Coturnix japonica: one gene and its partner. Each later gene encodes a partner of the first gene's protein in a complex. Links are inferred from orthologs where the notes say so. Each region holds a gene or a part of one and is shown in the gene's direction. Other genes may lie near its edges. The genes, in order: ARMC8 and GID8.

Region 1 (15,762 bases):
CCCAACCTTGGTGATTCTATGACTTAAACTGTCAGCCCTCCGTTGACCCTCTCCTTATTAGTCCTTTCCTGTGCTGTGGGCAGTATAGGACAGATCTGTGCGTATTGCTGTTTTATCCTAGTGAACATAGTTAACTTTGTTTTGTTATTGTAAGAGATTTGTACATCAGTCGAGCTTCTTGGTTAGTCCTTTTTTTGACCTGTGTGGTGTCCGTGTTGGTCAGTGCTCCAGCAAGATGTTCTGTGCTATAAATCTCCTTGCAAGTGTGTGTGTTGTAATTTGGTCATGTGCCTACAGTTAGCTCAAATGTATGAAAATCAATCAAAAGGGGAGCACATTTCATTAGTACAGCGGGTTGTTCTGCAGTGTTTTAAGTGCTAAAAACCAAGGATAAGTGAATTTATGTTTTATTGTGTTGTCACAGCCTTACTTCCATGTGCAGAGCTGGAGCAATACGGACAGATGACTCTTGCATCGTTCTTAAGGTGAGCTAGTTAGACAATTCTGTTTAAAACAGCATTTCTATAAGGATCTACTCCTGTTTTTATTTGTCTAGTATAAAAAGTAGTGCAAAGCCTGTTAAATAGGTGATCTCAAAGCACCAAGTTCTAATGATAGTAATTAAACAAACAGTTGTTCCCTAATTGCCTTAAAACACTTATAGCAGTGTAGCTCTTGTAAGAACTTTTAGATACCAAAATGTTGATATCCAGCAATAAATATTCCAAAGTTTGACACACAGCAGTTTAAGGTTTGTAATGATGTAAGTAACTGTTTGTAAGTAACATGGAAACCACATCCCTACCTTGATCTCTGCATGCGAACAAGGCGCTGTTATCTGTTTCAGAAGCAAGTTTCAGAAGACTGTAGTCAAGACAGAAGACAATAGTCAAAATGCTTGCACAGTGTATAAAAGGAGCCTGTCAAAATCAGGCTGTTCCTCAAATTTCACAGTAGTTTTGTAAGTTTGTCTGAACATCAGTGCTTCATAACTTGGTTAGGGTTGGGAGAGTTGTCTGCAGCGCGTCAGGAACTGTCCCTATGTCCAGTGTTCTGGTAATGCAGGGGAAAGGGCAGTTTCTTTATAAGATGCTGCACTAAGAAAACACGTTTCAGTGTTAATCGCAGTTGAGTATGGTACATTTACACTGTTTGCTAGGGGGAATTTCGTATCTGCCATTCAAGGTAATTACAGGTGAAAGTCCTCATGTTGGCAGAGTCAAATTTCTATCTCTCCCATCTTTTTAAGCGGATATCCAAAATGCAGTTCATTCCAGTATCATCAGTGTCAGTAGTGACATCTGATCTAAACTCTTTTTCACTGCATGAGAACTTGGTTGAAAGTAGCCTAATGTATACTCAGTATTGCCTGAACAATTTCTCTGTAGTCTTTAAAATACTTTTTGTCTGAAGGTACCTGTTCAAATAACATTACTGAGAATTGCTTTAAAATAGCTGTTCGAGTTTCTTTATGAACCTAGCTGTTCCAAACAGTATTTTGTTTTTATTCTTTTTAAACTCATCAGACTCTGCCATGTTTGGTTCGAATGTGTAGCAAGGAGAGACTGCTGGAGGAACGAGTAGAAGGAGCAGAAACTCTGGCCTATTTGATTGAAACAGACGTGGAACTTCAGAGAATTGCCAGCATTACTGACCACCTCATTGTCATGCTTGCCGATTACTTCAAGTATCCCAGCTCAGTGAGTGCAATCACTGATATCAAAAGGGTAGGTTCTTCTGCTGAATCTTTGAAAAACAGTAAGAAATGGGCTCAAGGTGTTTCTTTATTCTGTTTAGCTCAGCCTTATATCCAAGTTCTTCAATGGAAAGGTTGCCAGACCTAGGCTAGGCCATGACCCTAATGCAACTAGGCCTCAAGTCTTTGTTCATTCTGGAGCCTGTAATATCCAAACAAAGAACTTTGTGTATATTTGGGCTCTACATCTTGTAAGAAGGATTTTGCTGTTCTTTGTGGAACACAGGAAGATGGTTTCTGGATAGTTTAATGCAGCTTCTTCATAGGATTTTCATGACATTTCCCAATGTAGTAGTGAAATACTGGACAAGGGCATCTGTCATGTTGCTCATGTGCTGAGTTTACAAGTTTACAGCTTCAGGAGCCGCTGCATTTCGTCTTCATAAGAGATAATAGTCCATGTGATGTGGATGGTGTGAATTCATAGGTGAAGTTGTGGAAAATGTTAAGTTCAGAGATGGTTCTTTTCTGTTACGCAGAAAAACCTGGATGCCCTGTATATCATTTCACGTTATCTCCCAGATGTTATCTGCACTTGCAAGAGGTTGGATAAACAATGATCCAGTATACCTTGGAGGCTTATTATCATAGGTGTTTTAGGAGCTGTTCTATTCCCAGCTGTATATACACTTACCAAAGCACTAGTAGATCAGTCAGTCTTGGAAACAGGATTGTTCTTGATATTCCTTGTAGGGAAGTATCGTTTGTCAATTCCCTTTTTCTCTCATTCAGTTTAAAGAAAGTACCCCAAAGAAGTGGATTACAGAGCCTTTGTTTTTCTTTGAGACTGTCCCCAGGGGTGGACACACCTCTCAGGCTTTCAAGGGATTGAATTGATTCTGCACGTACAGTTGCTTTTAAGTAGATGTAAAAATGCAAATTAAATATTAAAAAAACTGTTGGTTGCACTTTAGATAATAAGCAGAAGGAAAATGAGCATTTGACTGGGAAGCAGTGAGTGTTGGTGGTAGCATCAAAAACATGGCAAAGGTTCTGAACAGGAGTGATTATAGGTATTATGACATGGCTTTAAGTGTTCAGAAAGTCTCTAAAAATAGTCACCTGGAATGGCAGGGTGCTTGTTTGGAGGAGAAGGAAAAAAACTCTTTGAATTACTCCCTAGAAGGTAAAAACAGGATGAGTGTGGACTTTACTGAACAGATTACTTATTGTTGTTAAAATATTAAAAATAGACATAATACATTCTGCTCTAATGGTGTATCTGTACCAGGGGAAATTGTTCGTACAGCTTAATTTTGGACAGTTCTTTCATACCAATAACTTGTCGCTTAATACTGGCATTTTTCTGGCATTTTGAGTAGGCTTAAAATGTTGCTCTGTTATGTGGAACCCTTTGGGTTGGAGTTTGCAAGGGTGTCAATCATAGAGCAACTCTGCTTGGTAAGGACATGAAGGGATTGTCTAGTTGGCTATTGAGAACTGCTAACAATGGTGATTAAACAGCTTCTCAGTGCATTCAGTTCCAGTGTTCCCCAGGTGAATATGAGTTAGAACCTCACCTGTTCCAATCTGATTATTGTCTCCTCTTTCTTTGCACCTCCATAGAGAGTCCACCTTCATGTTCTTTGTAGTCTTCTTGAGGTGAAGGCTGCTCTTATGTCTCTGCTCAGCCTTCTCTTCTCCTCGCTGACAACCAGGGTGTTCTCTTTCAGCTAATGCAGGTCTACTATCCCAAAGTCAAGGCTTTGTATGTATTCTGCTTCTTGCCTTGCTCACACCTTGCAGGAGCTGGGATGCCACTATTATCCCTACAGCCAAGTGTTCCCACTTGATTATCATACCCAGTACAGTTGTTCCTGATTTGTGAGTCATGTGTCCCGTGATGCATCACCCTAATTCACTTGCCTAGAACCTGTGTTGTTACCTTCCCCAAACATCTAGGCAGTTAGCACTTTGATGTGTTGCCCTTATGACAGGAACTGGAAGTTAACAATCGCCTTAAGCTCTAAGTCCTGTGGTTGAGGGATGGGCTTCGGTTCTGTTGATAAAACTTTTGATTCTGTACTAATTTTTTCCACTTCTTCTGGCTTGTTCCTATAAGTTTCTGTTGGGTAAATAAGACTGCTTTTCACCTTAATATAGTCTGAATGGAGCAGTAACATCTGAGAAGTGTTTTGGCATCAAAATGTTGTAAGCAGATGTTATTTAAGTTGGCTTATCTGTAACTCAACAGTGACATTAACCATACCCTTAAATTATTGTGTTCAGATGATGAGCGTGGACATCAGCTGATGAAACAGCAGGTTGTTTGTATTTCTGGCTGTTCTACGTGTGATAGACAAAACCCGAGGAAGCAGCTATTAGTGTACAGCAAATAAGGAAATACCACCCGTAATTTTTAGCGTCTATATTTGATATCTGTATTTATTTAAATAGCTTGACCATGATTTGAAGCATGCCCATGAGCTGCGCCAGGCTGCTTTCAAGCTGTATGCTTCCCTTGGAGCAAACGATGAAGATATTCGAAAAAAGGTGAGCAAAAATGTCCGCAATGAGGCAGAGCTATAGGTGAAGGGCAGTGCAAGAGCTTGGATGTATGTTTTGCTCCTTCCAACTCTTCCTTTGTTTTGCTGTGAGTTGTGAAGGCTTGCTTTCTGTTACATTAACAGAGTTCTACAGCGCTCTTTCTTTGAGTGGGATTTGAAGAAAATTTGTCTTTATTAACAAAATAGAAGAGTAAGGTTAGTTGGTGTGAATTTTTCATGGTGATAAACTAGATTTTCAGAATAAAGTCTTTCAGCGTGCTGTGGTCCTTGCTACTCAGAATAAAATGGAATAGCTTGGTAGGAAGGGACCTAGAAAGATTATCAGTCCAGCCATTTAGGCTGTGTGAGGTCATTGCTGTGGCATGTGGGTCTTAAAGCATTTCTGCAACCTGTGTTTTGGGGAGACAAAATTTGCCTCTGTTATAAAATGAATGTTTACCCAGAAACAAACCCTAGGAAATCTGATCATGTTGTGAAACCAAGTCACAATTGATTCGGTGATTCTGAAGTGACCGAGGGGTTTGTGCTATTAGAAAATGTGGTGTCATGGGGGACAAATTCTACTCAAACAATGAAGAAAAGATGGGAAGATAGGAGTAGTCATGTAGTTAAAAGTTTGAAATTTAGTGTGGGGTTGCTATGTCAAACTAAAATATCAGGCACAAGAAGCAGGATGGATGAAAAGCAAGGGCAGGTAGGAGGTGGGAAAACATTCAGTTGAGAGGATAACAAGTAGGAGGATTTTTTCATTGGGGACCCATTCAGAATCTCCAGATTTTAGAGAATGATAGAATTATTTGAGTTGGAAGGGACCCTTCAAGGCCATCCAGCCCAACTCCCCTGCAACAAACAGGGACACCTACAGCTCCATCAGGTGCTCAGAGCCCCATCCAGCCTGACCTTGGATCTCCATGTCTCCAATGATTGTAAAAAAAAAAAACAAAAAAGTTCTTCCTTATATCAAATCTAAATCTCCCCTCTTTAAATTTGAAGCTATTTCCCCTTGTCCTACCACAGCAAACCCAACCGGAGATTCAAACTCATACATTTCTCTTTCTAATTTCTTTAGTTAATAGCAAGGATCCCTTCTCTTACATTTCAAAGAATTGTCTTTAACAAGTGATGGATGTGAACAGGACAAAGTTGGTTTATTATATAAAGGCCATCTTTCACCATGGTATTAACTCCCTTTTCTCCTACTTTTAAATGCTTGTGCCGGCCATGTCTAAATATGGAAGATGAGCAACTGTATCTTTTCCAGATGGCTTTACCACATGTCTCTAATCTATAGTTTGTATATATTTTGTACACTCACACATGCTATCTTTCATTTTAGTATAACACTGAGTAATACATTGTACATATTATATGTATTTTTTCTCAATGATTATTCAGGACATTTTGAGAGCAGTAGTGGAACAGAGGGTATAGATATCTCCCAAATCACGTGCAGATGCACACTTTGTTCTGCTTAGTTTGAGACTCTAAAGTGGCTTGCTGTTTTTAGTTATAGTTTTTGTACGGTATTTAAAACATTGCAGACAGGAAAGAAGAACAAAACAAAAGATAACAGCCCCGTAAATGTTCATATTATTTTATTCATATGATATTGGTTACTTTTTGCTCTAGATCATTGAAACTGAAAATATGATGGACCGTATTGTTAATGGCTTATCTGAATCTAGTATCAAGGTGCGATTAGCTGCAGTCAGGTAGGATGCTTTTTTTGTTTCATACAAACAATTTTTTTTGGTCAAAGTCTGGTGTTGCACTTGGTAGAACTTTTTTCAAGAGCTGAAGTTAATCTGAAATCTTCTGCTTTTGGAAAACTTGTTAGGGGGAGAAAATGATCCTGGACTAGCTCAGTATTTTCTTTTGCTATTTGCAAGCTGTTAGTCACCACGTTCTAGGCTGCATTATTATGTGCAAAAGCAACGTGTGTGTGTGTATGCATAGAAGCAGAAGCGTATCTCTGTGTACTTTTTTCACAATGAATGTTTCTTTTCTGTTTTAGATGTTTGCACAGCTTGTCCCGTTCTGTTCAGCAGCTCAGGACAAGTTTTCAGGACCATGCTGTATGGAAACCTTTAATGAAGGTAAGTGAAGTCAAGTTGCAACCACTCGAATTTTCTGCTTGGTTATAATAACGTGGAGGATATGGTGTATGTTTAATTTGCACGTGTTTCTGTAGAGTCATAGCATATATGACCCAGAAATCAGATTCCATGCCAAGAGTGCTGTGGTCCATGCTTTGCTATTTGTTCATCTTTTTTTTCTGTGATCAGTTAATAAAGCTACATTATCCCTAATTTTTAGTCTTGCAGGACACTAGGACTGTATATCCTTCAGTTCAGAGTAGATGGAACAGCTCAGGCTTGGTCTGTAAGTGCTACAAGAGTATGTAGGTCTGTTTTCTGCTGTAGTTCTCTAGTTCTCATTGCAAATACTAAAACTGAAGCTGAAGAACTCAGCAAAACTTTTTAAAATACTTTTTTTTTTTTTAAATTAAATGCTATTGTGCACAAGGTTAAAATGCATTGAGATGCATCTATTGTTTCTTGCCCTGTAATGTGATTGTCACTAAGTGCAGATAGATAGACCAGTTTCTTAGTGTCAGTGTTTTTCAGCTCTCGAGAATGGGGAATGAGGTGATTTTGCAAAGAGCCTGAATGCTTAGGCAATGTAGATGTCCTTGAGAATCACCATGCCTGAAATGAGCCTGACTCTATGCAGAAGTACAATAGCCATGCCAGAGAAAGCCTCATCAGCAAAGTTGAACTGATGAACCTGATAGTGAGGCACAGTTACATGAGCTGACTGTCTTCAAGCTTCAAAGTGCTGTAAGGAAGTAATCAGGAGATCTTTCGGCTGTTGCTGGTGGTTTGGATGATTCTGTACAAGAAGGATGGATGCCTGTTGGACACGCTGCTCAGGCCTGTACAAAGTCTCACTGACTTTCTCTGATCTGCTTATGAACATAATCCTCAGAAATAACGGACTACACAAAACTGATGTGCTGGTCATCTTATTGGCCTTATATGAGGCTTGTGTGAATTAGAAGCCCTAAAGTGTGGGACTACTTTGTACTGTAGTTTCATGATGGAAATGATGGAGCAGTTATTTTCTGACAAGATATAATATACTGTACCTATTACACATGAAGCACTGATTCTTGATTTATGAATTTATGAATTGTGATGATAATCTGTGAGTTAATTAATCATTGTTAATTGGCAAGTCGAGAGATTTGACCACACAAGTTCCTGGAGCTTCCTTTTTTGACTTTTTTTTTTTTTTTTTGGTAAAGCGTGGTACAGAGGTGTTCTGCAGCTGCAGCCTGTTCTCTGTTGGATGCTGAGCAGAGTAGATCCATGCTTTGCAGAACAGGGCTTCATTCCCTTGATTTCTTTTAAAACCCACATGAAAGCTCTCAAATCTGACTTATGAGAAAGAGTTTTGCATTGCTCCAGCTTGTCATGTAGTAAGAAGTATCACATTGAGTTGAATGAGTGCTGTCTGAATCTGCACTATGAGCATCTCCAAATGTGTACAAGTATTCCATTTCACAGCAATCCCTGCCTTACCCTACTCATTGACAGAGATTCTCCATTCTCCCCTTCATGACAACAGGTTTTACAGAATGCTCCAAATGAAATTCTGATAGTAGCATCTTCTACACTATGCAATCTTCTACTAGAATTCTCACCGAGCAAAGAGGTTAGTGTTTGTCTGTTACCTTTTATTGTTTCTGAATGAAAGCTGCCCTACAGAGGGGTTCAATAAGTGTAAGGGTATCCTGGTGGGTAGGAGCGACATGTTATTTGTCATAGAGTTGTAATGTTAGGCAGACTGAAATCTCTGATTGATGCTAATATCAAGTAAACCTGCTTACAGTGCTGTGACACTTAAATATTGTTGAATAGTTAAATATAGCCTCTGAAGGGGGGAAAGAAAAAGTAGAAATGAATTTTTTAACTCATAGAATAATGATTATCTTAAAAAAAAAAAACAACTTGAGAGCACCAAGAAAACAAACTTTAATTGGGGATATGATTGTCTTACAGAATTACTGCTGTGATCTTGAAAATGCTGCCATAGCTCAACTGAGAGGTCTTTATTTTTCTTGATTGAAAGATAGGGGATATCTGCTGTGCGTTCTGTGTCACATCTGTGTTTCGTACAATCCTTACAGCCCACCCAGCCCCAACCCCTGCCATGGGGTTGCCCTCCACCAGCTCACGCTGCCCAAGGCCTCATCCAGCTTGGCCCTGGAACCTCCAGGGATGTGGCAGCCACACACTTCTGTGAGCAGCAGTGCCAGGGCCTCGCCACTCTTTGAGTAAAGAATTCTCTCCCCTCATAGAAAACTACCTTTTAGTGCTCATGAATATGGAGCATGGCTCTGTCAGTTCATCAGAGCAGGCCGAGTGTGTTGGAATTTGAAGAGTGAGATATAAGCAAGACCTTTTTTTAAAAAAAATGATGTTTACTTTTATTTGTACACCTAATTATTTGGAGTATTGTTTTAAAGGTCTGGTTTTTTGGTTTTTTTTTTTTTTTTTGTCCCAACTTGTTCATTTTAGCCTATTTTGGAATCAGGAGCCATAGAACTTCTGTGTAGTTTAACACAAAGTGAAAATCTTGCCTTGCGAGTGAATGGCATTTGGGCTTTAATGGTGAGTAAAATACCAATGGAATACTTCTTGCAATTGCACTTCTGGAGTAGTTTGTTAATGTGACTTAAGAAACTTGTGAGCTGTTACTAGAAATAGTGTAAGTGAAGTCTGTTTTTGCATTCTGTCCATCCAAAGAAGGAAAGCACTGTCAGCCTGGAACGCTTCAACAGCTAGAGATGAATAAGAACCCTTTCATTCAGATACTGATTTGGTTGTCCGGATCATTCAGGCAAATATTTGAGCAGTGTCAAATCATTATGGGGACAAATAAAAGTGGGTAATAACCAGGTCAGCAAAATCAGCCATGAAACAGTGTGCATATGGATTTATTGCATAGCCATAAATGCTCTCTTATGGGGAATTTACAGTTCTTTGTAAGTTATAGCAATTTTGGGACTAATTCAGCAAGGATATTTATATGCTTGCAGGCAACAGTCTCCTAAAAGTAAAAAACTAAAGCTTAAGCTTTAAAAAGCATTGTCTTTTTCAGAATATGGCATTTCAAGCTGAACAGAAGATCAAATCAGACATCTTACGAGGTCTGAGCACGGAGCAGTTATTCCAGTTACTTTCTGATTCCGATGTAAATGTTCTGATGAAAACTTTGGGACTGCTCAGGAATCTTCTGTCTACTCGTCCAGTAAGTAGAGCTGCAAACAGACTTTGTTCTGATCGAACATACAGACAATGAAAATTAATGATCAGTTTTATTTTTGACAAAGATTTTGGCTCAGAATACAAAATGGTTTTCTGTTTGATTGCTCTTTGGTACGTGGCTAAAACTGAGGGCTCTGCTTTGCATTTATCCCAGTGTCTGTAAGCAAAAGTTCAAACCAGTGTCAGAAAAACTGGAAAGAATTCTGTACATCCGCTTGTTATCTGTTATAAAATACAGCACTAGACAGTTGTATTTAATCATCAGCTCCATTACATTTAGCTTCCCACAGTGTTGTCCTAAAAACTTGTCCAGAATAGCAGTGAGGGCAGTGAGGGAGCTGCACTTCTGAGTCAGTATGTGGAGAGGTGCATTGTATTGAGGATACCTAATGTTTCTTCTCTCTTGACACCTGAAATATTTCTGTTCTTACCCAGCTGTGTAGTGAGCTCAGACTTGATGAATTTGACTGTGGGACTGCTCACTTGGGGGAAAAAAAATGCATTCGCTCATTTTACACACTAAAGTAAAATGGTTTGAAAATGTAAGTCCATGAATTGTTTTTGACAGGGAGAATGAGATATTGGTGGAGGAAATGAAAGGGGTAATCCCCTGTGATGAACAGAGGGAAAACATGCAGCAAACATTTGGCAAGCCAGCATTTTTGTGGGGGAAAAATGGCACGAAGCCTCTACTGTGCATTTATCACGTGTTGTGTTTCTACCATAAAAAGGTCACTGCAAAATAGCTTCTGATATCTGTACTTACTGAATCTCAATAAGCTTCATTGAGGATTTACACTGTCTTAATGTGAAGATTTTCATGTGAAAGAAGCGACCTGTCATTCATTAATTCACCCTGAGCTGAGCTCTGACAGCAGAGTCTCATTATTTTAAGGTGTTATTTGTCTGATACCATCCCAGCTTCACCTACTGTCTGTAACACTTCAGAGCCAGAATCAACCGTTCTCATTCTGTACCCAGAACTTACTCCAGAGTAACTCATCCAGCAGCTTTTGATTCAAGTTTCAGTGCTAGCAATTTTAAGAAATCCTACAAGAATCTCTATTGATAAGAAGTTCCAGCTCAGAAAACTGCAGTGTGTGCTGTGCACAGGTTATGTCTGGTGGCTGCTGGCTGTCACTCCTGAGTTTTGCTATCAGATCCTCCAGTAGATTTAGTTTTGCATTTTTTTTCTGTTACTCCTTATGACTGCTTATATTCTTGTACTGGTAGTCCCTAATCATATGACCCTTTTACCTGTAAGTCTCTGACCTTGAGACAGTTTTCCTAGACTATAAGTAATTTATGCATCTTATCTTTCTGAATCCTTTAAGGTTTTTGGTTTTATTAAATGAAGATCTCAATCCTGGTTGCAATGATCCAGTAAGTGTAGCAAAAGTTCCAGGTGGAAAAAAAATAAGCCACACTTCTTTACCCCTCCTTGATGTCCTCCTGTTATCAGAGGAGAAAAGGTGGTTCTTTCTATAACTACAGCATCATACTGAGAGCTCACATCCAGTAGGACTTAGTCTTCAGCCTGTGGCCAAGTAGGAAACCAGTGGTTTTTTTCCTACAGGTTTCAGTGAACTCAGAACCAAGGCCCATATTGTGCTCTCTCAAACGTGACCAGGGTTCAGATGAAGAGGAATATTACCAAGTGTTTCTGCTGCTTTGGGTTTTGGGAGATCTCGCTATGTACTATAGGAATTTTGTGCAATGTTGCTACTCTTTATTTAAAGTAATTCATGTAGGAATGCTGCCTGTGTGTGTGGAAAATTACTGCTAACTGTATTTCATTGCTTTGACAGCACATAGACCATATAATGAGCACTCATGGGAAGCAAATCATGCAAGCGGTGACCCTCATTTTGGAAGGGGAGCACAATATAGAAGTCAAAGAGCAGGTATCCTTTCTTTTGTTTTCATGGCAGAATTTTCATTGGCAGAATACAATCTAAAAATGCTTACTGTTCTCACCATGTTAATTTTTTTGAGGATTATGATTTGCTGTGGCTGTTTTACTGAGGTCTGTCCATTTAATAACTTTAGCACCTACAAGAAGTTCCTCTTCAGTGCATTACTGCAAACATGCTTGAATTCAATTCAGAATGCTTTTTAGATTTCACAGGTAGGAGAACACTGTACATGAGAGCAGAAGAATTAAATCTAAGGCAGTAGCATGGCAGAAGGGGGATGGTGGGGACATGGGAAGAGGAAAAAGCCAATATTTCATGCCTGGAAAAGCTTCATGGTTATTTGCTCCTACAGCAGCTGCTGGAACAGTCAATAAAAAAGAATAGTGTTAGTGCCCGCTTTGCTGGCGGTGGAACATGTTCTGCTGGGAGCTGTGGCATCTCAGCTGTTCCTGGGGGCTGTGGGAGCCAGCAGTGCTCACAGCAGAGGAGGCAGTAGCGGGGAGAAGAGCATGCTGGTGTAGCCCAAGAGAAGAGCAGGAGGGGCATGCTCTGAAAAACTGCAGTTGGATGAGTAAAAATATACACAAGCAAAGGGACCTGAAGAGAGATGTTCAACAGAGAAAAGCATTTCTGGTTTTAGAACAGCATAAGGGTGAGGCCACCACAGCAAAAGTACAAGGATGGATGGCAGAATTTGGCTAATTATGGGAGATGAAGGCTCTCTTTAACTGTCTTCCTCACACAGGACATGTGGTGGTGAGTAATGGGGGCACTGAGGAGCTGTGGGAGATTGCCATGGATTCCTTTGGCTTAGAATGGATGTTGGTAGTGAGCAGCATGGCAAATATCTTTAATCGCTAAATCCAGAGTGATTGAAATCTCTGCTCAGTAAAGAGTGGGCTGAAGTGGTCTTTTGTGGCCGTTTAAAATGCCGAATTAGCAAAAAGAAATACCAAACCACAAACACATGTAAGACTAAATATGTAGCAAGTGTAGTGAAACCATGGTTGTGAAGCAGCTGAGGATTAAACAGTTGTTTCTTTCTAAATTGTTTTTGATAAAGCTCTAGTAAGTGAAATGGCCTTTTTTGCAATAGGAGATGATTTTGCCTGCCAAGCCTCTGAGAATTATTTTAGAGGAGGAAGCACACCTCCTGTAACAAGGCTGTTGTACTGAAGCTGAACGTAGGCTTTCAGTTTTGGAGCCTTTATTTACAGAGCACTTCGCTTACCCCTGCAATGAGATGAACATGTTTTTGTTTCAGAACTAACTTGCACACAACACTGCACACAAGTAGGATGGTGCTTATCGCTGACTGCCTTGTTAGTGTGTCCTCAGCAGCTTTGGGACGTAATGGACATATGCAGCTTAGGCAAAGGCATCACACATGCGCTGGTCATTCTCCACAGCCCTCCTGCAGCCACACGTACAGAAAACATGGCTGAATTCTTGTGCAGCTCTTAAGGGAAGAATTCATAGAGCAGTGTGCCTCCTGAGCGCCTGGAAAGCTGCCTTTGCAAGTCTTAATGCCTTGTGCATGTAGTGCAAACATGGGCTTTCTTGCTTCAAGGTTATGTTGTAAGATGGCTTTTCTAATTCACAAGTAATAAGCAGGTGCATTAAGTAGTTCGTTTGCGTTACCTCTGCAGGTGAGATGTGTGATTAGAACTTGTGGGGAAAAAAAGATATTTTTCTGAGGGTTCAGCAGATAGACCTCTGGTTTTCCCTTTCCTGACCTGAAGAACTACATGGATGTGTTCTGTTTTTTCCTAGCTGCTGTTACAGAATAGACTCCTTTACTTTCCAACACATTGTATCTTGTCTGTGTGCTGCATATTCCCATAAGAGACTTAAATTTTGCTCATTGTGAAATGAATCAGTGATTGTTGCTTAATTTTTTATAACAGCAAAAACTGTGTTTTTGGAAGGGCTGTTCAGGCACAATTGTTACTGCTTTGGCACTGGTGAAATGTAAGCAAGCTGGAAAATCCAGATTAACGATATTAAAACTAATTAAAAGAATTGTTTGTGACAAGTTCAGAGCTGTCAGGAAAGCTGTATAAATCATGGAATGTGATCTGCAGCCAATATTCTTAACAGTTTTTCTCTCTTTCAGACGTTATGTATACTTGCCAATATAGCAGATGGAACAACAGCAAAAGAACTGATTATGACCAACGATGACATTCTGCAGAAAATCAAATATTATATGGTATGAGGGAATTCTTCTTCAGTGTTTTATCTTGATCTTTTGCCAGAATTAAGGATGACGCTTTAGTATTTATTCGTGTAAATTCTTAGTCATCGTCACGCACTTAGCTCTCGTCTACCCAGTTGTGCTTAAGAAATCATGCTGTGCAGCTCTGTATGGCTGATTACAAGATCCGGTGTTATTTCCTGTAATAATGTTATGCTGACTTAAGCAATACATTTAACAGTTCTACTTGGAAAACTTGTAATGATCTTGGAAAAGCAGCATCCAGTAGATCTCTTACTGAGTATGTAAGAGGAATTGACTGAAAGCTACCAAAGTGTCTTATGTCATGGTGTTATCTTTGAGAGAAGTTATAGATACAGAATTTGTCCCCGCTTTTCCTACCTCATTTGTTACAGGATGAATGCCAAAATGTGTGAGAAATTCTGAATCTCGTCTTCTAAATTTGAATACTTTTTTTTTTCTATATTTAGAGTCATTCAAATGCTAAACTTCAGCTTGCTGCCATGTTCTGTATATCTAATCTCATATGGAATGAAGAAGAAGGTAAGAAAGCCTTATTAGTAATGCATAGACAAATTACTGCCCTGATCAAAAGGATAGAGTTACATACTAGTCATTATTGCAGTGCAGTGGAATCCAAACCATAAAGGGAGACATCATTATAGGTGTAATATGGAAGAAGTGCTTGGAACATAGGAGAAAATGTAGAGGGGCAGGAAGGGAGGAGGATGATGTCAATGAAAAGGAGCTGATGAGGTTCACACAGATTACACCTCTCTCAGGTCACAGAATTTTATGCTCTAAATGTTTTTCTGCTCACAGTGCTACAGCTTAGACTTAGAAATACACCTCCGGTTAAATGCTGCTTGTATCCAAAACAGAAAAAGGAGTTTAAAGAAGCCTGACTTCAGTTGCTTGCATTAGGATAAAATTTGTCTGGGATTTTGCCTTTGAATTCTTTTTTCTTTAAACACATGTGTACTGAAATACAGAAAAGAAAGAGGAGCTCTGTTTTAAAGCTGCCACAGCTGAAGGAGTTTTCCATTGCTGTGTCTTAGCTGAACTGTGCTCCATACCCCACTCCCTAAGCTGGTTTCTTCTGCCACTCCTTTCTTCTGTTCTGCACGTGTTTTTTATTTCAGTGGTGTTTCCAAGAATGTGATTTATTGTTGTAGGTTCACAAGAACGCCAAGATAAACTACGAGACATGGGAATAGTAGATATCCTACATAAATTGAGTCAGTCATCGGATCCGAATCTGTGTGACAAGTGAGTATAAATAAAACATAAAATCCAGAAACCAAGATGAGAGGGGAATCTTTGCTCTTATACGTGATCTTCTGGGATGCTGACTTGGCTCAGGTCTTGGAAAGGACTGTCAGGGCCATGACAGCATGGTTGGGAGGTGTAGGCTCAAAGGAGAAGCAAAACTTTTCAATTCAGGTTCTGATAATTAACACTCAATTAGCTGAAATATTGACAAAACTCTCACCATAGTTTTTTGGGAGGTATTTGTAACCAAGATGTCATAGAATCATAGAATCATAGAATTACCCAGGTTGGAAAAGACCTTGAAGATCATCAAGTCCAACCACAGGACTTGTTGTGCAAAGTTATATAAATTGTCCTGTTCTGACTGCTGCTTTCCACTGTTACTGTGAGGGTGCTCACTGTGGTAGTAGAGGTGGTTTTCCTGACAAGAATAACGTGCTTCTTGTGTGTGCTAACTTCATGATACATGACAGGTTTATTTCCCGGCTATAGTCGCTGCTTTTCATGGCACATCTGTAGTACAGAAAAATAATGGCTTCTCACCAACTGAAGGGGGATTTCTTTGCTTAAAAATTCAAGATTTGAGATGCATCTTAATCCACACCATACCTGACAGTAGCTTAGTTTATGCTGAACATCTGATGTACGTGATTAGATCGTCTTATTCTCAGGTACCAGGTGGATCCTTGAACTGTTACAGCCCACACAGCATTTCTGCACCAGAAATGAGGTTCTTCCAAACTGAAGGAAGCAGCGTTTT
Region 2 (15,862 bases), on another chromosome or scaffold:
ATACCCTGCACAAGTGTTTAGGTCCAAACAATGACACCCAGCTGATTGATTCTCATTTCTTTATGTGCCTTTATATCTCCATACAAAAAGGTATTTGATTTGCAATGTCTCACATGTAACACATCCCCATATAAACACAGAAAGCAAAGTTAACTGCAGACTCAGACACATTACAGACTTTAGCACCTGCAGGACTTGATTCACTGGGCCCTGGTACTTAACAATGGGGGCTTACTTCTGCTCTAACAAGACACAGGCTTTGCTAAGTCCACTAACACACCAGTTAATGCTTCAGATACATTGTCAATACTCAATGTTAGGACCCAAACACAGGTCAGAGATCTCCAATAACCGCAATGATCAACAGAAGGGTCAGCAACTTTCACTTATTGACAATACAGAAAGGTATTTGCACCCGCAAAGAAAATTAAAGTACAATAAAAGTCTTGCTTTTAATAAAGGCTATTAAAAGCAAGTACCATTAATCAGTGACCAATTTCAACTCCATACCCAGACAGAAGAAGTCTGGGCCATTATTATTATCACATCATATCACATGATTGGCTGAGAAGTCAAATAAGGACATCATTTCTGATGCAAATAAAACAACTGCTGGTATAGTTTAGTTGATGTTGCTCTCAGTTAGATGACTGATTCCATTGAAAATTAATTTTTATCCCCAACTTGTCAAAGATCACATCCAGGAAACTTGTACTCTAATTAACATTAGCGAAATTAATCCTTTGCATCAACAAGCATCACAAAAGCAGCTCAGAGAAAGTCAATAGGGCAAAGCCTACCCCATCCATAGATCAGAAGTTTTATCTGGAAAGTAGAGGAAAGGTAAAAGTCACTGATCCCTAAGAACAGCAGGAAATAAGTTCAGCACTAGCAATGGAAAAAGCTGTGCACACATGGCGATGGTGCAGTTCCCTCCGCCTGCTCCTTCAGGAAAGTGCCAAGAGCAGAACACTTAACTGAGAAACTACAGATACTGATTGTAAATGTGAGGTGTTCTACCACTTCTCTGAGGACTCGCACAGTCCACACCTACCTCAAGGCTGATAAGAGCCCTTGACATTTGCGGGTGTATGTCAAGATCCATGAAAACAGATACACCTCTGCTAAGAAAGCATTTCCCCTACGTTCAATTTCCATATAGTCCGCTTTCATATGGAATGTACCTTCTGGTTACTAATTCTGATACCTTCCTTCTGAAAAAAGGAAATTACCTTTCCTAAAGCTGCGAGGTGGGAACACTGAAACAGAAGATATGCAGTAAAGAAGTCAGAAAGGCAGCGACCATAATGCTTAACTCCAGATGTACAGAAACTGATTGGAGTTATATTGCCCAACTCCACTTCATGAATAATTTACTATCCCACTGTTTGACTGCTACAGATACATTGCAGCTCAAGGTCAGAAGCTCAGACATTCCTAGCAAATACATTTTTTACCAGTAAAACCTCCACATTTGAAAGTAGTTAAAAACACAATTTGCTTGAGAGTTATATCTAATAATAAGCAGTGAAGAAGAATACAAAAAGCAACCAAAAGTAATACTGCAAAAATCTACTGCAGTACTAACAGCTTTAAAGTTAACTTCTTCCTATTCCAGAGACAATACGTTATTTCACATTAAAAAAATTAACATTAACATACTTTGTGATTTCAACAATGCATATTCAAGTAATACAGCCATATTCCTCATAAATACCCCCACACTAATAAAATGAAGAACAGACCCTTCTTAAAGAAGGAATTTAGGCTGCATGAAGCTGTAGTATATCCAGGCAAATATGAACTCTGCACACAACAGCACAAAGCATCAAGATCTACTTTCAAGGTAGCATTTACTACCACAAAAGTATTTCAGTCCCAAATACAAGACATGATATTTGTCAGAGATGGCAGCAATAGCACCTACAAGTCTCCTACTACATCCTTCCACCATGAGCTCCTGCTTCTGCCTCACCTGCCCACCCACCTTTACAAAGACAGGCAACAATACTCACAAAGCCCAACCATGGGAACTGGAAAGTGTTGTGTAGCACCTCATCTAAATCCCTAACAAAAGCCACAGGGGGGTAACAAACATGACTATTATGAGATTATGCTGACCCAAGACAGAAACTGATGCACTGCAGGATACAGGAGAACCTGTACCCTTGGAAAATCAGTTTCTCCACTTAGGAAAGGTATCAAGAATCAGAGAACAAAACCCACTAGCAAATGAAACCAATTTGGCAATTTAAATAAATTAAGAAAACAGATTTATTACAAGAACACGTATCTTCATATGGTGTTCACTCCTGTAAAAAAGAACCTTCAGTCACTCTTTTATTTTAATAAGTCCCTCTACAGAGTGTCTACACCATCATCCCATCCCTCCCATGATTTCTGTCATGTTACTCACTTACCTTACATGAGCCTAAGAAAGCCATTGCCACAAATAGGACAACAGCCCTGCACACAGGCAGTGAATGTGGCACCTCTGGAGGCATTGAATTTAATGTGTAAGCACAAAACCACATTACCACAAACACACAGTGGACTCCAGTCAACAGTGAGACCCCAAAATGATAATGAACAGCTGCAGAGTATAATACAGCTACCCAACTAAAACAAGTGGTTCAGGCAGCTCCCTGGTTATACTATAGGCCTTCACCGTCACAATTACACAAGCCAGAAACATTCAGGGGCACAGTTCCTAATCAACAGAGCAGTGGTGTACGTTCCTCACATAGAGGTAATGGCACCATTAAAACTGTACTTTCACCCGTATGCTGTCTTTACAGGGTGGGGTGGCAGGTATGCACCATTTCAGTGCAATACAGTTTCATCAGTGCAGCCGCACACTGAATTTGAAGGCTCTACCAACACATTAGAACAGGAGCTTCTATGTAAAGAATGGGTTCACCTCAGGAAGAAGCAAGACTTTGAAAGTTCACACATTCTCTGGATGAATAAAGCTACATCAGAGTCCAACAGAAATGATACTTAAGAGTTTCCAATGTAAGGATACAGTTACTAATTTTAAGAACAAAATATTATAGAGATATGATTGGTATTCTCTACCCCAGAGCTTCACATGAGGCAGAGACTTCAATGGCTTACTATCAAGCTTAGTGCTCCTGTAACACCATCAAAAGCTTTTCTCCACATTCAGCTACACAAGGTAACCCCAGATCTACTCTAAACCACAAGAGTTTACCCAAAGCAACAAAAACAAATGTAGATTTTTTCCTCAGGTTTACCTCCCCTCTCAAGGTAAGAATAATACAAGCAAAAATGACACGGCAAAAAGAACATTAAGAACCACTGCAAGCACAATCCCAAGCAGCACAGACAGTTCTGCCCTTTTTTCCCCTTTTAGATAAAAAAGGGAGGGGGGGAAAGCACCTTTCTGTGGTCAAAAGCTTGTATTCCAAGAAAAAAAAAATGTCTCCTTATGGCTTCAAAATCATGAAGCCAATTTCGTAAGCCACAGTCCTACGTTTAGCAAACAGACAGCAACTACAAACTTAGACTGCCATTGGTTATTACTCACTATACAATTATCTTTACCATTCCTTTTCTACCACTTTGGATGGAAATATTTCACAAATATACACTACATTTTTTGGTTTTAACATTCAGCTTCTGCTACAAAACCTGACCTCTTCAGCACCACTGATAATATACTGCCAGCAACTGCAAAGGAAACAAAGAGCTCTGGAAAACTGATTCACACCATCTGATATTCCTCCACTGAAGTACCAATGAAATCAGTTCTTTATTGTGACTTATGAATAGTGGGATGTTAAGTGAACACAAACAGTTTAATTCTTCAAGATCCCATTGCTTCTTTATTTTTAAACATAGAACTATATTGAAAGTACTGAATTGTCAAGTTTCAGCTTGAATATTCACACTACTTAAAATTCCCTCTTCTCCTTCAATAGCTTTGTACTAACTAGTAAAGCTGGGCAGGCTTTTTGTCAATTGGCACTATGATACATAAACTAGTTACACTTCCTACAATGTATCTATCTTAGTTTTACATGTATCTCTCTGTATCCTCTGGCATGTCTAATCCTGGTTGTCAGCAGAACTAAGTGTACAGAAATAGACTCAGAGCAACTGCAGGATTACAGTTTCTGATCCTACCAGCCCAGCTGCTGGAAAAAACACCACGCTTTGCTGTTACACCTTTTTCCCTTTTCAATGTGAAATAGAAAGTGAGCTATAAATACATCTGAAACCAGTGAGCAATTTCATTCTCACGCCATCAAAAAGGGGTCAGTATATGACATAAAAAACATGAGATCTTCCTTCAGAATACAGTCAAGTGATTACAGCATACTGATTACGTTACTACACAGTCAACAGTTCAAATACCAATTGCAATTAGGGTTTACCACAAGAACACGTGTAATACGCATTTAATTTTTGTCTCTTCCCTAGTGGGAATTTTAAGTTACTTGTTAACCTTGAAGTCTATCAATGCTTTTAACAGTAACTCCACTAAAACTCACTATTCTATTAACTTCTTTCTGAAGTTGTATTATATAAAAACATAACAGTAATACAACCTTTAAAGCAATATGTTCATAGTATATTGACAGTGGATCTAAAACAGTCCTAAGGAGGAGGACTGAGAGCAAATCCTGCATAAACTGGGTAAAATCAGTTGTACTTCTACCACTGTCCTACTGGTTGAAACATTATAGGTGACATTAGGCAGAAAAAGCTCAGTGTAAAACTAACACAGACAGACATTAGCACTTCTGTCAACAAGAAACCATCTAATCTTACTCTTGCTTAGTACAGTCCTGTCTCTTCCCATTTCTATCAGTTACATTCCATAATCTTCCAGCCTAATCCTTATAATCCTTCCCTTTCCCTTCTCCACTTAAGACTTCTGGCTGAAGTTCAGGCTCTGCAGAACTAAAAGCACACAGTTAAAACTCTACAGACGGAATCTGAAACTGAAATTAAATCATACCATCTACTCCCAGAGAAAAATCTTAAAACAGAATTAAATAGAGCCACCATCTTCTGCTGAGTCCATCAAACACTGAGAAACACACTCAATTTTGTTTGCTATTTTACTCCTATAGAAAGTTTGAAGTGTCAAAGAACAATAACAAGCAATTGGCATATAAAGGCAAAGCACAACCTAAAATCTCTATTAAATTAGCACAGTAAATACTACACTTGTACAGTAACTAACTATATATTGACATTGTTCATTGACCAGCAATCCAACTGCTTGAATGGCTGCTAAATTTCATTTATAAGTGTATCAACAAGACACAGTTTAAGCTGTACCTCTTGACATTACCACTTCTAAAGAAGCTCTTATATAAATAGCTTTAAGTGGAAATTTTTAATAAAATTAAAATACAGTTGAATACCAACTGCCAAATAATATACTTCAACAAAGCTGTGATGATTAAGCACTGAAATGAACTACTCTTGCAGCCTCAAAAAGATTATTTGGAGTCTAAAACATTAATAATTTCTAAAAAGGATCTTAATGCTGCACAAAACTTGCCCATTAAGTAAAAGGAATTATCATTTTTTCCCTTCCTGAAGTTCCCAGGGGAAAAAAAAGGGAACAAAACCAGTGCAACAAGACAAGACCATTACACTGGTTTTAAGTACTGAGTATATGTGAGTGTAATCCATACACATTATTCAGTTTATTAAACAATATGAAGTGTTCTTTCTGAGTTGAAAATGACAAGCTAAGATGACAGGATCTTATTCATCCACTACTAAAATGCAGTTACTGCTCAGATAACTGTATGAAACAGAATTTGGTCACGTTCAAAGCACAGCTTTGTGCAAGGCACAAGGGACAGTACAGAAATACATTAATAGGGAGGGAGAAAGGTAGACAGTATCAGACATTGACCAGTATAAATACTCAATACATATTGGCATTAACTAATGATGCAACCCCTTCTCCCTTCTCTACAAGGCACCAGCACATGCTAAAACTCTACTTTTCCTGTTGAACTCACCACTGAGGAGCCGTCTCCATCACCCAGCTCAAAGCCCCATAACCTCGTGCCAGGACCCACCCCGAGCCCTTGATGCCGAGGAGCAGCTCTCCACCCGCATCCCACCACTTAATAGGCCCGAGGCGGAGAAACCCTCATCCGGCAGCGGGATACGTTGAACGGGACCGAAAAGGCGGTTAATGTCGGTTGTAGCGTCACAGGGAAGCTCGCCGCCGTCAGCTTGACCCGTGACGTCGCTGGGCTCAGCTCACGCCCGTCCTTCTCCTTCTCTCTCCCCCCAAGATGGAGGAGCCCGCCTTCCTGCAGAGGCCGTCCTCTCCTCCGCGGCCCAACCACGTTAAGAGCTCACGGGGCGGCGGCTCGGGGCTTCCTCCGGGGCCCCCGCAATGTGTGGCCTTCGACGTGCCAGGCCTCCGACGTGCCCTGGGCCCGCAGCCACACCGATGGTTCCCTGGAAACAGGCCTCGCCATCCCCAGTTCCCCCCCAATCCCTCCCCTCAGCCTTGCGGCCTTCCCGGCCCACACCGCCCGCCTCCATTTTCTCATCGAGCCCCGAGGCCTGAGGTGGCGGCCGTGTCTTTTCCGCCTCCCCTCCTCCTCCGCAGCGGCTGCCCGGTTCTCGATCTCCTCCTCTCCCCGGTGCTTCTCCCACCGCCTCCCTCACTCACCGCGGTCAGTGGGTGCGGGATCTCTCCGACGCCACGAAGGTCTCAGCCGCGCCGCGCCGCCATTTCCTTCTCGCAACGGCTCCAAAGCGCTGGGCGGGGCCGCTCCTCCCCGCGCTACCATAGAGACGGATATGGCGGCCAACCGTAGGCTAGAACGCCCACCGCGCCTCGCTTTGCGCACGGCTCTCGGAGGACTTCGGCCGATACAAGCTCCGCCCCCCCGGCCCAGCAGCCCGCGCGCTTCCTCACAGCTGGGAGTTGGGCGGGAAACGAGCGGCCCCCTCAGTGCTACTCAACCCTAAAGCGGCCCTTATATCCCAATAAACATCATTATAAAATGCCTGGGCCCCTAAAAACACACTTGGGAGCCAAATAGGCACAGTATGAGACTCCTGAGGGTAAAAGCTAAGGGTGATGGCATTAAAGTTACTATTAGCTTTTCAACATAGGCACCGTCTCCACCTGTAAAGCAGGACTGTATTAATACTTACTCCACAGAGAAACACCAATATGTGAGAAACAGACTCCTATACAAAAGTACAAGATTAATACATATCAATTGGCTTCTAAAACAGTTTAATAAGCACCTTATGCATCTAAAGTACCAGAAAAGCTTATGCCAGGATATCTACCAAGCCCTCGGCACTACTCTCCTTAAAACCTTTTAAAAAATAAAATAAATTCTTTTAAATTCTTTTAAAATAAAACCTTAAATCCTTTTCCCATTGCTTTCTCAGATCTCATCTACTATTAGGCAGTCAGTACAGAGAGACTGAGTCAAGAAAGTCAGTGAGACTTTCTTCTGCAGGTAATATATCTGTGCTTGATTATCCCTGGGGTTTCTCTAATTGTATTTGTATTTATCAAGAATGAGAAAACAACAACAGGTAAAAACTAGAGACAGGGTTATCCCAATAATAGACTAGGGATGAAAGCTAACAAGCAAGTTCTTATCCCTGTTCCATTGCTTTTCAATATAAATATTGATCACTTCAAGTCAGAAGAGACTAATCCTTGTTGGCTGTGCCCCAGCTTTACCTTTTTTGATGAGCAGAATAAGGTTTGTATCCCCAGATACAAACCACACCACAGATACACCAGGTGTTAAGGCAGCGTATCCTCCAGGTACTTGGTTATACAAGGCTCCCAGCGTATCTCTGCACAAACAGAGAAATACTTTACCAAGGGCTATTCTTATTTGTGAAGCTTACCATAGAAGAACTATGCAGCTTACAATTTAGGTTGCTACAAAGCCTTTTCTCTCAAACAAAAGCTTGAGGTGCTCTCAAGTGTCTCCGCTTTACTCAGGGTGCACTTCCCTCAATAGTAAGCTCAGGAAACCCTTCTAGAGAGGGAAATTCTCCTACTCCCTCTGTCTTTATGGAAGTCTCCTAAGAAACTCCACCTTTTGGGGGAGGAGCTGACAAAAATCAGGGACAAGAATCTAAAGGGAAGATTCACAAGCCTGAAGGTTGAGATGTATAAGGAATAGAATTGGAAGGTTGTGTCTTTTCCTAAGCAACAAATCTGTTGTGGTAGCTACAAAACTAGGAGTGAAAAACGAGTAATTGTATCCATATTCCCACTGAGTGAAATTATATGTTCTCAATTAGTATCATTTGCCATATTTCATATGCAGATGTACCTCTTAAGCCCTGCTCTCGTTTCAATACACAAATAGAGCAGTTTTGTTGCCTTTGTGCCTTGATTCACAAGCCTTTTTGGATCTAATTGTGGCAAGTTTATTATATCACAGTATCACAGTCTCGTGTGGGTTGGAAGGGACCTTAGAGATCAGGAGGATAAGAGGAGATATTGTGCCCTGCAGCTGGGACAGGCGGCTCGATGGAGCCATAGAAGAGACAAGACCCAGCGCCACTTGCCCGTCCCATCTACAGTAGGTGGCACGGCGGCCATTTTGTAGCCTGCCCTCAGCCGCCCTCACTCTGTGCTACTGACTCCGTGGTCCTCCCGGCGGGACCGGCCTCAATTGAGCGCTACAGAGAGGCCGAGCGCCTCATCTCTATGGTACCAGCGCCCCGCTGGATGTGTGTGTGTGTGTGTATATACACGACGTACGCTCTATCCCGCGGCACATCTCTATGGTTGAGCTTTCTCTCTTCGATTGGCTGAGAGCAGTTCTCGCGAGATCCGCTCGCCGGAGGCCTAGCAGAGGCGGCGGAGGTGTCCGCGTTGGTGCGTTGCAGCCGGTATCGCAGCGCGCTCGGTAAGATGGCGCCGGCGGGGCCGCTCCTTCCCTCAGGGTACTTGGGCTGTCGCGGTTCTCGCCTCGGCTTAGCGGCTCGGTCCGTTGCTGATCGCTGTGGACGGTGGGGAGGCACCGGGCCTGTGGGGAACGGAGCCGTGCGCTTGTGTGGCCTGGTGTGGGTGGGCCGGGTCGGAGGATGCGCCTCTGGAGGCCGGGGCTGAGCGGGGTCTTGTTCAGAGGGGGAAGGTCGGGGTGCACAGCGGGGCTCGGACCGCAGCACTTGGGGGACACCGCGTGGTTCAGAGAAGGAGCTGGGGGTCCGGATGGACGAGAGACTCAACATGAGCCAGCAGTGCGCTCTGGCAGCCCGGAAAGCAAATGGGATCCTGGGCTCCATCAGGAGAGGGGTGGTCAGCAGGGATATGGAGGTGATTGTCCCTCTCTACTCTGCTCTTGTGAGGCCCCATCTGTTGTACCGTGTCCAGGTGTGGAGCCCTCAGTACAAGAAAGACATGGAGATTTTGTTAAGGGTCCAGAGGAGGGACAGGAAGATGATCAGGGGGCTGGAGCACCTCCCCTATGAGGACAGGCTGAGGGAGTTGGGTTTGTTCAGCCTGGAGAAGAGAAGGTTGCGGGGTGACCTCATTGCAGCCTTTCAGTACCTGAAGGGAACTTACTGCCAGGAGGGGAGTAAACTCTTGGAAAGGGCTGACAATAGCAGGACACGGGGAAATGGTTTTAAGTTAAAAGAGGGAAGATTTAGGTTGGATGTTAGGGGGAAGTTCTTTACTGGGAGAGTGGTCAGGCCCTGGAACAGGCTGCCCAGGGAGGTTGTGGATGCCCCGTCCTTGGAGGTGTTCAAGGCCAGGTTGGACGGGGCCCTGGGCAACCTGATGTAGTAAAGGTGTATGTTTGGTGGCCCTGCCAGGCAGGGGGGTTGGAACTACATGATCCTTGAGGTCCCTTCCAACCCGGCTCATTCTGTGATTCTGTGATTGGCAGCGCGGGCCGGGAGCGCTCGGTTCTTCGCGTAGCTCCGGGCCCGTCCTGTCCCCCGCTGCCCGGCGCTGTTGGGGTCGGTGCGGCTTTGGTGGGAGCCGTGGTCTCCCGGCTGTTCTGTTGGGAAGGGGAGGCAGGCGGTGCGCTGCCGCTCGGTGTTTCGGTGCCTGTTGCTGTTGTTGCCGCCTCTCCTCCCCCTTCCGCTGCCTCTGTCAGAAGCGGACAAATAACCGGCTTCGGTTTTAGCAGAGTGCGCTGTTTCCAAATCCGAGAATGAAAACAAACAGGAAATAACTTAGTAGCGTTGGCAGGAGCTCCTGTGACAGTCACTCTAAGCCGGCTGGTTGTGCGTGGGGGCACTCACTGCCTTCTTTTGTGGCCGTGTGACATACGTAGCCATCCAGTCAGTGTTTTTGTTTAAAACAGATATTGGTTACATATGTTTCGCTTTGGAAATTAGTCATAGATTTTCTAGTCAGTTGTAAAACTTGGATTCATTTGCTCTGCGTGGTCATGCTGTGGGTCTTGTATGACTTTTAGACAACGTTTTATTTGGACTGGATTTAACAAGATAGTGGTGTTTGAATTTTGTATATGGATGATGGATGAAAGCAGAGTTAGAAACTGGCTGAAAGTGCAGGAAGAAGGAAAAGAAAATGTAAAATAATGTGTGGAGATAAAAGGGTCCTTTGGGATATTAATTTAAGAGATGTCATTAGAAAGATACAGAGATAGTAGTAGAACTGTGCGTACACACATTAAACTTGCTTTTAATTGAATTGTGTTAAATGAAATGTTTTTCTGTCTTTGTAGTAAGAGACCAGGATGAGTTATGCAGAAAAACCTGATGAAATCACAAAAGATGAATGGATGGAAAAACTTAATAACTTGCATATTCAGAGAGCAGACATGAACCGCCTTATCATGAACTACCTTGTCACAGGTAAGGGTGTGTTGTAGTGCTAGGAAGCTTTTACTTTGTTGGGGCAAACCACTTTGGATACACTATGGTACTATAAGGAGTGACATTAACAACTTTAAGGATTTGGTGATTGCTGTTGACTTCTAGTAAGGTACACGTGCTCTTGTATTCTCTTAAGTGGACACAGAATCAATTAGATTAAAACAGGGACCCGGCAGATATACTGACATAGAAATTACGCTGACCTTAATTCTTACACTAAAAGATATAGAAGAAAGTATTTTTGGATTGCTGTAAACTGAAATGCCCTGCTTCTCTATGATACCTTTTTTTTTGTGCCATTGAGAAAGAACTCAAGATATGTAGCTGTTTTTAAATAGCACTCATGAAGCTTCGCAGAGCGTTTATCAGAAGTAAGTTTTAACTGTCTAGAAAGGTAGACTCTGAAAGGACACTTGTCAAAACAGTTTGAGACCAAAATGATTAAGCCCTTCAGCATATAGCCTAACTTTATACTTAGAGCAATCAGAAACCCTCGGAAATTGTCCCTGGCAATTATGATGCATACCATCACAGGAAGCTATACTAGGGTGGAGGCATTTATATTTGATCTACACCCCTGTTTACATCAGTGTGCGACTGGATCTTCTGAGATGAGAGGAGAGCATCTTAGTGGCTTAATAAAGTAAACTTTATTAAATAAAGTTTAAGATTCTGGGTGGCCATTAAAAACCTTTACCAACAACTACATTTGTTTTAGAAAAACAAAGTTAGTTTTCTTTATCTGTTTTTTCTCATTAAAACTATATAAATGTGGTTGGGGATGGGAGGGAGAAACAAAATAATGCAAATTCTTAAAATAGGAGCCCATTTGTGAAACAGATTTGTAGGTAAAACGTTTTTATTTCAGAGGGCTTTAAAGAAGCAGCAGAGAAATTTCGAATGGAGTCTGGAATTGAACCCAGCGTTGATTTAGAGACTCTCGATGAAAGAATAAAAATCAGAGAAATGATTCTGAAAGGACAGATTCAAGAAGCCATTTCATTAATAAACAGCCTCCATCCAGAACTGTTAGATACAAACAGATATCTCTACTTTCATTTGCAGGTAAGGACAAGTGGCCGTTTTTGTTTTAGAAGTTGTTAAGAAACTCTGGAAGAAGTGTGAGTTTAAGAGTATGTTAAGGGATTTGTGGCTGAACATAATTGCAGTTTCAAATGTTCGTTTTTGATATCATTTAATAGTTATGGGAAGATCTGTGGCATGGTACAACAACTGTCATATCATGTTAATTAGTAAGTTGGAAACTTTTAACAGTGGGAATGATCTGTGATTTACCAACTATTAATCTGGATTTCTGGTGGTTCCTTTAGAAACACATTTTCAAAACGTGTTATTTGGAAACCTCAGACTGCCTTTACTAGTAAATCTTGTTGGCAAATCTGTTACTTCTTAGATGTTTAGAAATGACCTTAAGCTTTCATGGTATGGATTAGTATTTGTCTCAAATTACATACAAATGACAGAAGATTATGGTCTCGAAATACTGGAGATTTGCTGCTTTGTTTAGCTAATATCACTGTGGTTTTTTTTTGTATGTAGCAGCAGCATTTGATTGAACTGATTCGGCAGCGTGAGACAGAAGCAGCTCTGGAATTTGCTCAGACCCAATTAGCAGAACAAGGCGAGGAGAGCCGGGAATGCCTGACAGAAATGGAGCGCACGCTGGCTTTGCTTGCCTTTGATAATCCTGAAGAATCACCATTTGGAGACTTGCTGAACATGATGCAGCGACAGAAGGTAGAATTTGCTCATAAGGAAGTCGATGTATTTTATTTGTGTGTGGTGAAAACCGTGTCCAAATATTTTTGAAATATATGGAAATGTGTATAGCTCTGTGCAAAAGAGCAGAAGTATTTCTTAAGCAGCATTCTAAAACCTGATGATGCCAATAATAGGCTGTTTGACTTTCTTCTTTGTTTCTCTAGGCTGTTGGTATATGGAGCTTTGTCCTGGCCTCATTCTGAGGAGTTAACAAGCTGTGTGTGATGTTATCAATGTCTCTGTAACATTACAAAGTGTTAATCATAGGCAAACTGTTACTAAACTCCAGTATTTCTTTTCCAGGTATGGAGTGAGGTTAATCAAGCTGTTCTAGACTATGAAAATCGTGAATCGACGCCCAAGTTGGCAAAATTACTGAAACTACTACTGTGGGCTCAGAACGAGCTAGACCAGAAGAAAGTGAAATACCCCAAAATGACAGACCTCAGCAAGGGGACAATTGAAGAACCCAAGTAAAATGTGTGCAGATGGACATCAAACAATCATAGTACTGCACAGTATACATTTATATCAGTCTGTGACTGAAATATTTTTACTACAGTACAGCACTCAATTCAGATTTTTCAATGAACATCTAATTTGAAGGGAGAAAAGTCCCTTTTGAATGCTGCAAAAACTGCATTGAAAGGCGCTGTATCTCTTTGAAAGTCTGACTTAGGCTATGCACTATAATACATTTTTAAAAGAAAACCAATTAAACAGGACAGGAAAAAATCACGTTTTTAAAAGTACAGAACTCAAGCTTTCTAATTGGCTACTGATGCTTAGTTGAGTGGTCAGTGAGTTAATACGGAGTTACATTGGCAATTATTCAGTTAAGTTAAACTGTCTCCTGTTTGAAATGTGTATATAGAACAGTGAATATTTTCTACCTTTAAGTTATAGCAAGATATACATTCCCCTTAAGAGTAACTGGTCATGTTTTCACCTATAAACTTTGCAGTAAGGTCAACCTTTTGCCTAGGAAATAGTGTACAAACTTGTAAATCTTAATTTAAGAACTTTTTTTTTTCCTTGTTTCTGACTTTTTGGTGCTTTATATGGTGAGAGCTATGTTCGTAATGGATCGGTGACCCATCTTTTCATGAGAAGTATTGTTGGAAATAAGTTTTTTTTCTTAATTTTCATGAATGACCAAAATGGCCCTCAGAGGCATTTGAGAGTTTTTCTTAAAGGGGACCTTTCCCTTCCATGTAGAGTTTGCAGCTGCAGACACTGCAGTGATTCCAGCAGGTTAGTAGAGCTTGGAGGGCCACCGGATTTTTGTAAGCTGAAAGACATACTTGTGTTAGGCAATGAAGTGGGGGGAGAGATACTTATGGAAGCCTCTGATGCATCTTCTTGTGCAGGATCTGCCTTTACTCACGCTGAATAAGAATTGTAGTTTTAGAGCTACTTGGGCTGTTTTTATGCCTTGAGCTGAGCAGAGCAGGGCTGTCTTTAAAGGCTGAAATGTCAACTTTTTTCGATTCTTTCCATACCTTTCTGAAGAGATACAGTTCATCTCCACCTGTATTACTTTGTTTACTGCCCGCCCTCACTCCAGTTAGGATTCTAGTTTTAATGTTTTACGTGTGAAGTCCAGACTTTCAAGTCAACAAATTGTAATCTTGTGGGTATGGGATGTTCAGGTCAACTTAATTTTGCAGCACTGTTCACTGGTATATATCCAGTGGTAGCACTAATCTTGCCAAATCAGTCTGTAGGTTTATAGGTCTGTATATCAAGTTATTAACGATTTGTTGAACAAAGACCGATCTGGTGGGTGAGGTAGCTGAACATCACGATGCACTGGCAGTTGTCATACCAGTCCCATACTGTACATAATCTAGTCTTGTATGGTAGATATTACCCTGTAGAATTAAACTTAGTTTTCACTTAATTTTACTGGAATACTTACGCATTAAACTGTATAAAGCTTTGCAGATACACCTGACTTATGGAAACTTAAAAAAACAAAAACAAACCCTGTTACTGATTGCATTACTGTGAACACTGTTTACTTGTGTAGCAATTTTTTTTGTGAGGGGAATCCATTATTTGTTAAGCAGCTATTAGAGATGCAGAGCACTGAGTTAAAGCTAGATGATGGGTATAACAAAATGAGTTGTTCTCATTTATCGCTGATAGTTTTGTTCTGCACTTTTAAGGCATTTTGTGGCATGGAGGTCTCGAAGTTTATGCATAACAAGCAAGCTATCACTTGCCCCCAACTACAGCAGTGGTCTGGCTTTCCTTCTCCCAGACTGGTTATTTTAACACCAGACTTTTAACAGTTGGTTCTTTTTTCCTTTTCCCATTCGGTTGATGTCTGCAAACCATGTATGACTTCTAGTTTGTGGGAAACTCTGGTTATTGTCACTTGGTTTAATAACAGACTGCAGAAACGAAACTGGAATAGCTCTAATTTCTTCATATGTAACTGATCGGCTTTTCCTCTGTTCTGATGCTTACCTACTAAATGTCATCTAAAGCTTCTCCCAGCTGAAGTGGAAAGCAGTGCGGTTTTGTGGCATGACAAGCATTTTTCTCCATGAGAAATGCAGTATTACAGTCCTGGTTGAGAAGTTCACTGTACTTCTAGGGTTAATTTCACATAGTATTTTGGGCAAAGAGTGAGCATAGTTTACTTGAATTTTCACTAGCTTGGTTTTTTTCCATTAAAAAGAAACACCATGTTTTTTAAGGGGTTTAATATAAAGTTAGTATAGAACTATTTCACTTTGTTTTTATGAACATGCCACGTTGATAAGCAGCTTTAATCTGTAAAGTTTTTTGGTAACTGCAAGAAAATATTGGAAAGCTATGCATTTTAGAGAGAGCATAAAGGTAGTCATAATGGTACTTCTAAGGATCTTTATATTAGTGTATATAAAATAGTTTGCATATACAAATATAATATATAATCTGTTTGAAATATTCTTGAATGGTAGGGGCTGTGAAACGTTATAATTTATGGAAATATTGTACACAGTAAACAGACCTCTGTCAGTACACGAATGGACTTTTGTCATATGCATGAGAAATGTCTTATTTGGTGACTACTAATGAATGGGATTTTGTTAACCCATTTTTGTTAGATAACCACTTTAACAAATCCTATTAAATGCCACTTTGAACAGTTTGCTTTAGCATTAAAATACATATTATTGTTACATTTTTTCCCCCCACTTAATTTAGAATGAGAATAACTTTTGTATGAAGATTT

What was found.
Region 2: the proteins of ARMC8 (region 1) and GID8 are in contact, whole or in part, in a cryo-EM structure (PDB 7NSC), measured with the Homo sapiens proteins. The link is inferred for Coturnix japonica from reciprocal best matches to the Homo sapiens genes ARMC8 and GID8. Residues at the interface, in NP_001350870.1 of Homo sapiens: Asn45, Val47, Ile48, Gly49, Asn50, Val85, Ser89, Met92, Arg127, Arg130, Arg161, Tyr162, Tyr166, Leu200, Ser201, Tyr202; in NP_060366.1 of Homo sapiens: Ile83, Ala84, Asn87, His90, Pro91, Glu92, Leu94, Asp95, Thr96, Tyr101, Tyr183, Glu184, Asn185.

Annotation. Positions count from the first base shown.
Region 1 is NC_029524.1:2,444,704-2,460,465, forward strand, and holds part of ARMC8 (armadillo repeat-containing protein 8), read left to right. Parts: intron 1-424; coding exon 425-485; intron 486-1,526; coding exon 1,527-1,727; intron 1,728-4,153; coding exon 4,154-4,249; intron 4,250-5,892; coding exon 5,893-5,975; intron 5,976-6,277; coding exon 6,278-6,359; intron 6,360-6,579; coding exon 6,580-6,645; intron 6,646-7,893; coding exon 7,894-7,980; intron 7,981-8,846; coding exon 8,847-8,939; intron 8,940-9,429; coding exon 9,430-9,579; intron 9,580-11,404; coding exon 11,405-11,500; intron 11,501-13,628; coding exon 13,629-13,724; intron 13,725-14,200; coding exon 14,201-14,273; intron 14,274-14,905; coding exon 14,906-14,999; intron 15,000-15,762. UniProt on the Homo sapiens protein: Component of the CTLH E3 ubiquitin-protein ligase complex that selectively accepts ubiquitin from UBE2H and mediates ubiquitination and subsequent proteasomal degradation of the transcription factor HBP1.
Region 2 is NC_029535.1:7,547,941-7,563,802, forward strand, and holds the start of GID8 (glucose-induced degradation protein 8 homolog), read left to right. Parts: upstream 1-8,786; 5' UTR 8,787-8,906; intron 8,907-10,700; 5' UTR 10,701-10,712; coding exon 10,713-10,830; intron 10,831-11,719; coding exon 11,720-11,916; intron 11,917-12,411; coding exon 12,412-12,609; intron 12,610-12,936; coding exon 12,937-13,110; 3' UTR 13,111-15,862. Other genes in the region: DIDO1 (death-inducer obliterator 1), read right to left, coding at 6,680-6,800. UniProt on the Homo sapiens protein: Core component of the CTLH E3 ubiquitin-protein ligase complex that selectively accepts ubiquitin from UBE2H and mediates ubiquitination and subsequent proteasomal degradation of the transcription factor HBP1.